2 linked regions of the Oryza sativa Japonica Group genome follow. The protein of the gene in region 2 binds, or shares a complex with, the protein of the main gene of each other region. Links are inferred from orthologs where the notes say so. Each region holds a gene or a part of one and is shown on either strand. Other genes may lie near its edges.

Region 1 (6,096 bases), on a different chromosome or scaffold from region 2:
CCTCGAGATTTCGCAAGTTCTCTTAGTTCTGTGACCTTCAAAGTGCTTAAATCAGGACCTCCTAAGGAAGATTTCAGAGTCGTATCATGAGATTCATCAATAATTGGAACACTTGGGATTTGCAAAGATGGCTCATCATATTCTCCACTGGGTTCATCAGTATCAGAAGCATCAGGTTCATCATCTGAAATATGATCAAGGTCATCCAAAGATAGGTTTTCTGGTTCTATTACAGAATTAGGTTCGAATGTAGAAACCGAGTCTGGTTCATCTGTAGCAGCCTTATTTTCCAAAGTTGGCTTAGCCTCTTGTACGGCATCATTGATGTTATTGATGACTCGTTCGGCATCAACATTGGTAACAGGCTGGAACTTTACATTAGGAACAGGGGATCTTCGCCTAAAATTTGAAGCTGGCCTTTTGAAGGCTGCAGGATGTGGCTTTTTCTGTTCTTCCTGAGTGTCATTCTTTATGAAGATGCTTGAATTTTGTTTATTTCCAGATTCATTGCTTCTCTTTGTTTGGTCAACACTCTGTTCTTTCTCATCACCGCTCTTCCTTCGTTGGTCCACTGAGTGCTTCCTAAGCAGATTTAGAAGGGAGTCAACACTGCCCCTCTCACCCTGTGCTTTTGCTTGTTCAGGCTTCTTCTCCTCCTTCCCTTTTCCCCTTGCTCGCAATTGTGCTTGAACCCTTTTAAACAACTCTACTATCTCCTTCTCTCTTTCCCCTGGGACTGATGTTGCTTGAGGACGGGAATTGCTTGTCAAAGAGATGGGTGGTCCATTTTTGGAGGACATAATATCAGTATCGAATTCATCAATATTCTCAGAGTCATCTTTCTCCTGGTAAGGCTTACTTTTCCTCCGAGCTGATCCACCCTTCTGATGGCGTGTGATATCCGAACTTCTTGACCTATGGTTGTTGGGATTAGCACTGCATACCAAAGACAACTTCATTGGGCGCAGCATAGGCAGTTTACTCAGGAAACAAGCTCCAAGAAGAAATCTGTTGTCTCCATGATAGGCTGGTAATGTTCTGCCTGAAACCCAAGAAACAATAGCATAGTAATGAATAAGGACGAAAACTAAATGTTTCAGATTGAAGGGTTCGCAGTACACAAGATATATAGATACATAGAAGTTGGACATACAGATGGCCATGGCACAACTTTCTTTTTCCACTTCACCCCATTCCCATAATGCGAAAACAAGTGTACATAAAGTGCATAAAATTTTTAAAAAAATCATAGTGCCATAAGCAGTTCCTTCTTTCTATATTTGTTTATCAGTGGCAGTTTCATGTTGAGTCAGCAGTGTTCACATACATGACCTGCTATGATCATTCACACGTAATTAACTTCTAAAAAATGAAATGAAAAAGGATGTGTTTGTATGTTAAAATAACGAATAGTTCTCTTTTACGAAAAGGTTGCATTACCAAAACATATAAATATCATGTGGAGCCCAGCTTGTCGGTTACAATTAACTAAAAGGAAAAATATAAGCCGCTACAGATCAGAGCATACAATCATACACATCTGACCCATATGGGTAAGATTTGGATAAAATGTATGGGCCATTTAATGTAGACCTGCTATGTGCCTTAACAATTTAATCCTATCTGGATGAATGCAGGGCAGAGGAAGCTGTAATAGGGAAATCAAGAAAGCAATTTAGGGAAGAAGAAGCCATTCAATTTCAGCTGGTCTGTTTCATGTCCATGTGAAGGTTCATTACAATTTCAGCCCATTAATCAAGCGCATTACTCTGGTAAAACATACCATGCCCACTCATATAATGTTTGCTCTCAGCATTACTTGCACTAGCAGTTAGCCTTCTATCACGCTGCCAGTGAGGCTGTGAGTTTTAGCCACAAGTTCCATTGTGCTTTGAGTTCTTAAACATGATAGCAAAAAGAGAGGAAAATAAAGGCTGGAAGTCTACCTACCTAACTAGAAGTAGATTTGAAACATTTTTTCAATACAATGCATCCTGGAAGATAGAGGTAGATGAAAACCTTGATCAAGAAGAATGGGGCTAAGGAAACTTGCAAGAACAGTACCAACCGATCATCTAATTAAGTTCAAACAGGTTTTCAATGCACAAAAACACATCCATATGTCTGTTTTCAAAGTACAAAGAGTTAATGATTGATGATTTAGAATCTCCACAGATATACTTCTTTAACTCTAACCACTGATATATAAAGTTCTATTAAGATGGTGATGTGAAATTGATACCATTAGTTTCACATAAAAGGTGAGTTATTCACATAGTCTTTTATTATTGGGGACCCCACCCATCTCCAAACCATCATGTTTACAAATGGAGGTACCAACATTACAGAGGCAGTATATATTATAGTACATAACAGATAACCAACGGCTGGTGTTTTCAAGCTGCTATGGAAAAGAACATATCTAGCCTTGGCTTAGTGGACCCTAATAGAGTGAAATTCTATTCATGTGTTATTCAATAGATTTCACTTATCATTCTTCTACCTCAAGATGTCACCGTCTGATCTCTCCCGGAGGAATATTCACTATCCTGATGCACTAGCATTTCCTATTCATGACAAAATGGAACTAGACATCAACAAGAGGTCTAGTAGCCTATACTACCTACCTCATTTATCATTGTGTATATAGTGCTTCCAGACATATAGCACTAAAAATGCTGATAAGCATGTAATTTGACACCAAATTAACCATGAAAGTAATATGCGGACAGCAAGAATTCCTTTAGCTAAGACAGTTTTAAATTTCCAGTTTTTCCCAAGCTGCTCTACGGCTTGTGAGGATGCATCATCCTACAGTGATTTCTTACCACACTTAGGGCTAGAAGTTTGGATCGCGTGATATTTAAAGGAAATGACAGGAAACAGAATAATTCATTTGGTTTTAAAGCCTTTTTCACTGTTCTAACCATATACGTTCTCCAAGCTGTGCCAGCAAGCAGCCTTTGGAAACCTGGGTAAAATGGCACACTCATAAACAGTGTATGAATCATTAATAACTTGCTAAAGAAACTAAACTTAATAACTCTATATTTCATTCTTACAATGTATCATCATATTTACACCAGCAGTGCGTGCGAGCCAGATTTTTTGAAAGAAAATGCGAGCCAGATTTCATAGAGAACGATAGTTAGTTTTCCTTAAAAGAGCTAAGAGACAATGCGCCACACACAATAAAGCAGTGGCGGATCTGACATGGGACATAGGGGTTAAGTTGAACCCCACCCCCCCCCCCCCAACCCCAAACTTTTTTCGGAACAAACATTTGTTAGTATTAAGGTTAAGGCAAATTTCTACTACAACGAAGCTAGGGTTAACGCAAATTCGAGAAAAAAAATTGCGTGGGTGGAGAGAGGGAGATGAGACAAGAGGATGTGCGTCGTAAGGGATGCGGCGGAAGCAGCAGGACAAGCGACGGCGACCCCGCTCGCTCGCTCGAGCGATGGATGGATGGGAATCGGCGCAGGCGGCGGTGGCGGAGGATGTGCTCACCTGGATGCGGCGGAAGCAGCATGACGAACGACGGCGCCGACGGCGCCCTGCTCGCTCGCGCCTCGCGGGATGGATGGGGATCGGCGGCGGCGGCGGCGGGCGAACTAACGGATAACTCACGAAAACAATACGTCAAAAACGGCGAGGGTAATTTAGTAATTTCGCCAAGCACTCTCAATCTGCATATCCTATCCCCCTCCAAAACGGTGCAAATCTGAAAAAAGAAAGTATCCATAGCTTAATTCTATTTTCCAAACGGAACATATAGGACACCTTTGGGATGGTAGATTTTTATTTTATTTTATTATTCGGAATTGCATGATTTTATTTATTACTCCCTCTGTTTCTAAATATTATTAATTTTTTTCATATTATTTGATTCATTGTTAAATATACTTATATGTATACATATAGTTTTACATATTTTACAGAAGTTTTTAATAAGACGAATAGTCAAACATGTGCTAAAAAGTTAACGGTGTCAAATATTTAGAAACGGAGGGAGTATATGATTGAGATGGTGGATAATAAATAATAAAGGCAATTACAAATTTGCCACTGGTTTAAATCATTAATTATTATTGCAACACTGCCACTAAAAAATTGTAAAAATACTACTAGAACTGTCTTTCGAGTAGCATCTTGCAAAATTAAAAAAATATGGACAAATTTTACAAATAACCCTAAATAATAATATGCATGTCTGGGTAGTGGGCACTGCCCGATTAGATATGGTTCACTGGACAGGCCGTGTCATGTCAGCCCACATGTTTTATCGAGTGTATTCTTCCGAAAATCACATCGTATAGTATCATATAGCTAGAAATGCGAAGTTAGGATATTGTCTGGTAAAGTTTGACTAAAATATGTTACGAGTATAATTAATAAAATGAGCTACTTTTGAGGAAAATAAAAAAAATAGTACTAGAAGCCATTAAAACACTCTGAAAATAGACAAATAGTACAGGCGTACAGCTAACCGACATGACAGTGATCAGCATAATGTTTATGAAAAAGTTTTGAAAATGGACGGTGCCATCTCCAGAACTTAGACATTTAAATTCTATTCTCGTGATATTTTATTTACTTTTCTAAATATTAAAACATACTACTACCAACTACTGCAATTTTCGCACCGTGTCGATATATACGCACACGTCCATCCACATCATGTACTATAACAACGCCGCGTGGATTCCGAGTAATTATTTTAAACTAGTAAAATCATAATATTGAAAATATTTTTTGACGATTGTACTGAAATAACTTTCATATATCAATAAATTATTCTTAGAGATAATGATAAACAAAGTAACCGGAATAAAATAAAATGCCACTTCATTTTCTGTTGTAGTCAAAACTCTAAATTAGACAATTTGGTGCTAAGTTCTCCCACATCATCGACTTAGCAAATTAATGGATGTCAGGAAACTAACTAGTCTACGGAGCTTAAGAGGCTCACTTCTTTTGATAATATCATCATATCCACGGCTCCTTTTTTTACTAAGTACCATATTACCGCATCTAAAACGACGGATATTATCATCAGCAAACTCTCTGAAAAATTGTCATGGTCTCAGCCTAATTAAGCCAAACATGCCTCTGTCGGCTATTCTATACTTGGCTCTCTTGAGTCTTGACCAAAAATAATTAGCGCGTGAAGACGTGCATCTATCGATCACCGTGTGCACGACCCCCAAATCCATCAACACAACCGCAACATCTGTTTCAACCTTGGTTTTCCAAATGATGATGGTGTGGTTTCTCATAAAAAAGATCAATCATTTAGTATTATATAACGTGATGCTTGATCATATGATGAGCTGGAAAGTAAACACCCACATATTACATAATTATTTTGTTCTGGTAGGAAACACGATACCCTAATATTATTTACATAACGACGCAAACGTGTAACTACGTAAAACCGCGGCAAAAACCGCTGAAACCACGTAGAAAACCACATTTCTCGCAGAAGATCCCATGTTAGGCTTTCCAGTCTAGTTTTCTTATTCTCTTTATCCAAAAATAAATTAATCTAGTTAGATGTGATAGATCACAATATTACAAATCTGGCGGATGTATGTCCAGATTTATAGTACTGGGATATATTATATTCCGTACTATATTAACTTATCATGCGAAGGAAGTACTAGAGCGTAGACAGTTAGACTCCCCATCCTCTCACTCTGATCAACAACCTCTTTCCCTCTTTCCCCCTTAGATGAACACAATTTCAGCAGTACTAATCTCACTATGGTCATCCATGTGTCATGGACCAATGCACACACAAAAGGCACAAAATGGTTTATAGTCAACAGATAAAGGATGTGTTTAGTTCGTGTGCTAAAATTTTTTTAAGTATAGGGACACACATTTAAAGTATTAAACGTAGACTAATAACAAAACAAAATACAAATTTCGCCTGTAATGTGCGAGACGAATTTATTAAGCCTAATTAATCCGTTATTTAGCAAATGTTTACTATAGCATCACATTGTTAAATTATGGTGTAATTAGGCTCAAAAGATGCGTCTCGCGATTTACATGCAAATTGTGCAATTGGGTTTTTTTTTCGTTCACATT
Region 2 (5,311 bases):
AGCAAAATCAATAGCATACTTTTCTTTGCTTGATTTGTTTTCAAATGCTTTACTGTATTCTTGAATTACTGCCATTCTTCACTTAGGTCAAGAGGCTAGTTGTGGATTCTCCTCGCACCTACCATGAGGTGAGAAACCTTAAATCTAATCCAATTTTAGTCTAAGCTTTGTATCCATTTCCTGTGATTCATTTTCCCTTCCCATGATTCTATGCTGTGTGTTCTATGGACCAAAGGCCAATCTCTATATGTCAGTTAGTCCTGCTGTTCAAAGCAGTTAGCCACTTGGAAACCTGTCTCCAAAATGACTAATATTTTTTCAGGCGTGTATGTTGATTGATTAAGTAATGATAGTTGCGCATGCTTGTTTGCACACTAGTTTTTCCTTATGTCTATAGAACGTTCCTGGCCTACCTACTGTCTACTGTTGTATGCTATTGGACTTTCTGGTTAGGAATTACATTTTTCAGGCTTATAACTCTTTTTTTTTTGCTTATGCATATTTAGGTCACAAACTATCTCCAAGAAGTTGCACCTGAGCTCTGCAATCGAGTTGATCTTTACGAAAAAAGAACTCCTATATTTGATGAATATAAAATAGAAAAGGAGATTGACAATATTCTGTGCAAAAGGTATACTTTTTTTGTTGCATTTGTTTCTTAAATAGCTTCATTGCTACATATTCTTTTGCTTGCTTTGTAATGTTTATCAACCATTTAGCATAGAACAAAAACACATCTTGTAATATAGATTACTTTGATAAGTAATTTTGGTTTACCTGGACCTGGTTTTTTCCTAGACTACAAATTGCATATCACCATTTGACAAGCAAGGGAGCTGTCAGAAATAAGACTGCTCTACTGATAACGAGTGCCATGTTCAACATGAGCTTGTGGCTGGCAGTTGCGCTAATGGTGATTAGGCTTAGCCTAGACCTGTTCATGGTAGCCTGACCTGGTAAAATTGAGCAAGCCTGGCATGATGTGTCAGACGTGGGCCTAGATTTATAGCCCGATGAAAAAAAAAGCTTATGAACGACACACTATTAACTTACATTTCTGTTAAAGGTATAAATGATACAATTTCTGTAGTATGATATGTTAGTGCTCTTTTATTGCAGGGTTCCACTACATAATGGCGGTTCTTTAGTTATAGAGCAGACCGAAGCTCTGGTTTCAATTGATGTAAATGGTGGTCATAGTATGTTTGGTCAGGGGACGTCCCAGGAGAAGGCTATACTAGAAGTAAACCTAGAAGCTGCAAAACAAGTATGTCCCATGTTCTGTTTCGTACTGGAAAGTAGTATATTTGCTTTCAAACCTTATTTTTCTTTACTTATCTAGAATCCAATCCACCTTTTATTTTGACGTTTTACTGTATGTCTTACTCATTTACCTTTCAGCTGACTATGCTTTAATTCCTAAGAGATGCACTTGGCAGTACTTCTATTTGTCTTTCACCAAAAGTCTACCAGAAAAAAAAAGAAAAAAAAAACATGTATAGTATCTAGAACGACAAGCTGCTATGTGGGGCCATCAGTTCACGCACAGATTCTGAAGCTGCGTAGCAGCTTTCTAGGTGTAAGCAGTTAGTGAGATAGCTCCTTAACATCTGATACAACAATTTATGATTAAGTTCTTTTCACTTGAACATTTGATTTGTTAGGCTAAAGTTATAGCCGTCCTTTCATATGGGCTTCAGCATATCCATTATGGATTAAGAAAGGAATAGACGCTAGTTATCTCATCTCCTGTTCTATATTCCTCACCCCTGTTCACAGTATGATCCATAATCCCATAGTTTGTGGCAGGAAGCCAGCAGAATCCAATTCCTACTGACCGCAATCCCTTCCCTGGAGATGTAAAGCCAGAGCCATTCTGATCTTTATTTTTGGGTCCCTGCTGTCTACTAACGTCACTCAGTTAGCTATAGATCAGTCTTCTACTAGCCTATATTAATCCCGGGAAATCACATGCTCATAAACACATTTACATTCATGATACTAGTTCATTTTCTCGTTCATGATTATATATTGGTTATTAAATTGCTAGGCAAAATACTCTATTGAGTGAGCTACTCACACATGTAGCTATTTGCTAATATTATATTGATGATGCATGTTGGTTACCAAATCGCTAGGCAAAATGCCCAAATGAGTGAGCTACTCAGACATGTCGGATGAGCTATGGTAATAATGTAAAAGAATCCTGCTGTCACTCAATAGGCACCTTGAGAAAGATGGTAAAATATCTGGTGGTACATCGTGGTTCATCCTCTTTAAATTATGTTGAAATGGTTCTGAAATGTTTGAAGCATTGACAGAAAATTGATTTGTCATGAAACAAAATTCAAACAAAAATTTGTTTTGCATAACGAAAAAAAAGGATGCTTCTCCGTCTACGGAACAAGATTATAATCAATTTTTTGTGGAATGATAGATCAATGTTGGTGTCAGTCATTACTTTCTTCAATTTTTTGGGCGTTGTACTGTTACACGTGGTACTCTAGCAGTATCTTAGGGAAAGTCTTCAGACCCTTACCCCATCCATGACTCACAAACAAGCAGGATGAAATAACAGGATTTTGATAGAGCCATAGGCTAACAGTGACTCATTCATAGATGACATCGAATTCGAGTGGGGAAATGCATTTATTAGAATTTCAAACTTGAATATGATGCAAAATTTCTTGAATGCAGATTGCTCGTGAATTGCGCTTGAGGGATATCGGCGGCATTATTGTTGTGGATTTTATTGATATGACCGATGATAGTAAGATATCAACTTGTAGAATTAATTATAGTGTGAAATGGTTTTCCTCATACCTGCATTTCATCATGCCGTATGCTCCATTATGCTTGCAGCTAGCTTGTTTGTTTTTCTAAAAAACTTGTTGATTTTTTATTCTCATAGGAATTTATATCGTACATGGGTATCTTTTCTGCTGCCTGGTGTTTAATTAAGTATTTGCTAAAATTTGTCATTTGAATACAACTTTTTAACTTGTGCCTTGGCATATTGTCATGCACCTAACATGTGGTGATGTTTATTGACCTGAAATCTCACTTTATTATGTAACCCTTGTACTGGACTCTACATTCTGTACTCAAACATACATCATACCTTTGTAAGATTCAGCCAGCATATCACAACTTAAGATACAATTATAATATCTTCACAATAGGAATATTTTGTTTCTTATCTGGATATTCTTTCCATGATTTGGGAATATTTTGTTTTGAATTTATGTGCCATCAAATTAAGCTTATATATTGAGTCTTCTTGGATTTGATTGAAAATTTCTTGAGTTTTTAATTTCCTACTGTTATTAATTCATACTGCGACAGGTACCACTACCACAGTGGCATTTCCACCAGTTGTGCGTCCTTCATACTCTGTTATACTCCTAGATGATACTAATGATTGTTTGTTGTTTCATTGTGATTTTAGATTCTGACTGAGCTATGTCTGATCATGATGTTTTCCTTGTGGCGTTGTATTTGTATTCCACATTGTTGTTTTCCTTTTCCCCCTCTCTCTCCCTTCTTTTCATTCTTGGTCTAATGTAGCATTTTGCTCCAGCAAACAAAAAACTAGTTTTTGAAGAAATGAAGAAAGCAGTAGAAAAGGACCGATCAACAGTTGGTGTTTCAGAATTGTCAAAGCTGGGTTTGATGGAGATAACTAGAAAAAGGGTATGTGGGCACTTCTTCAGATGTGTGTAGTTGTCCACTATGGAGAATTCAACTTTACGAGAATATAGATACCCATCAATTAATTGATATTTTAACTGTCTATAATCTTGACTGAAATTTGTAGGTTCGACCAAGTGTTACGTTCATGATCAGTGAGCCGTGTCCTTGTTGCCATGGTATTGGCCGTGTGGAAGCTCTTGATACTTCTTTTTCGAAGATAGAGCGTGAAATCTGTCGACGCCTTGTAAGTCCTACAAACTTACCACTTACCAATCTCTCAATTATTTTTTAGTTGACATCCTCAAATCCTTGCTATTGAACTTTCTGAGATTTGACCGTATAGTTCTAGATTTTGGTTCAATACTTTCATCATATAAAATCTTTGGTAGTATATATTAATTTAACACTCGAACACTAATTGTCAATAACAACATAGAGGAGGGATGTAGTACTGTTTAAAGGAATGCACTGACCAGTATGCAGCTGATAATCTAGACAAAATTCAAGCAGCAGTAACAATCTGTTAAACTGAAACAGCTTGCTTGTATTCTTTCATGCTGATATTGGTTCCGAATATGACTTTGTTGATATTGGTATGAAGTCTTTTATTCCAAATGTTACTATATCTCCATGTAGACAACCAGAAGCTAGAACTCCATGCTATAAATAGTATAATCAGTGTTTAACTTATTTGTTATTAAAAACAAAATGTTCCTCTTAACCTTGTCTAATGGATCAGGCTGCCTCTGGACATAAATCAGACCCTGAGAAACCAAAATCATGGCCCAGATTTGTTCTTAGGGTTGACCATGAGATGTGCACGTACTTGACATCAGGCAAGAAAACAAAACTAGGGCTCCTCAGCAGCTCTCTTAAAGTGTGGATTTTGTTGAAGGTATGCTATTTGTACTTTTTCATTTGCATGTCATCATGACTCTTTAACCGTGTTGTCGTTTGCTTTTGAAACTTGTTAAAAACATAATTAATGCAGATCGCTAGAGGTTTTGCTCGTGGGGCATTTGAATTGCTACCATATTCTGATGAAAAGGAAACTGATGAGCGGAAGGAAGAGACATCAGAATCGCCTCCGAAAGAAGCAGGCAGCCCAAAACTCTCTGTATTTCCTATCAAGAAGTGGATGAGCCGTGCAAAGAGAGCGAAGTGAATCTCTACCAAAGAGATGATTTGGTTGTGCGATATGCTTTATTGTTATTCCCAGATCAAGAAGTACAGAATTTGATATGGCTCTGTTGTTAATTCTTTCCTGTGGTGATCCAACGTCAGATAGACGCCTTCCTGGTCAATGGTTTGATAGATTTTTTTTTTCCTTTTCCAAAATTTTAGATGCAAAACCACAGTGTGTTAACTATGACGGATGCAAAGAAGTAGCACGAACATTTTAGGTGGGAGGAAACTAGATTTTCTGAGGGATAGGAATTGTTGTCAGGGCATTGATGTGGTTACAGTACATACATCAACATAGTTTTATTCCATGGCCTCATTAGATTTGTTCTGTTGGATTTTTGGTGTACTTTTCTCAGTTATTTTTTATTCATTAGTAAAATTGAAATGGATTGTATTTTGTGCAAATTACAAATAAAAATTTCATGTTAAATTC

What was found. The genes of interacting proteins can lie anywhere in the genome.
Region 1: ribonuclease E/G-like protein, chloroplastic (region 2) and SAP-like protein BP-73 share a complex: the UniProt entries of both Arabidopsis thaliana proteins name them as parts of the chloroplastic degradosome-like complex. The link is inferred for Oryza sativa Japonica Group from reciprocal best matches to the Arabidopsis thaliana genes RNEE/G and RHON1.

What each region holds. Positions count from the first base shown.
Region 1 is NC_089037.1:4,370,244-4,376,339, forward strand, and holds the start of SAP-like protein BP-73, read right to left. Parts: upstream 3,629-6,096; 5' UTR 3,533-3,628; coding exon 3,511-3,532; intron 1,043-3,510; coding exon 1-1,042. UniProt on the Arabidopsis thaliana protein: Binds to and supports processing of specific plastid RNAs. Associates via its C-terminal Rho-N domain to single stranded regions of 16S and 23S rRNAs or to rbcL mRNAs. May be involved in targeting transcripts to RNases such as RNE or RNase J.
Region 2 is NC_089042.1:14,235,135-14,240,445, reverse strand, and holds the end of ribonuclease E/G-like protein, chloroplastic, read left to right. Parts: intron 1-86; coding exon 87-128; intron 129-506; coding exon 507-631; intron 632-1,119; coding exon 1,120-1,267; intron 1,268-2,697; coding exon 2,698-2,770; intron 2,771-3,580; coding exon 3,581-3,693; intron 3,694-3,817; coding exon 3,818-3,937; intron 3,938-4,432; coding exon 4,433-4,588; intron 4,589-4,684; coding exon 4,685-4,858; 3' UTR 4,859-5,213; downstream 5,214-5,311. UniProt on the Arabidopsis thaliana protein: Involved in intercistronic processing of primary transcripts from chloroplast operons. The endonucleolytic activity of the enzyme depends on the number of phosphates at the 5' end, is inhibited by structured RNA, and preferentially cleaves A/U-rich sequences.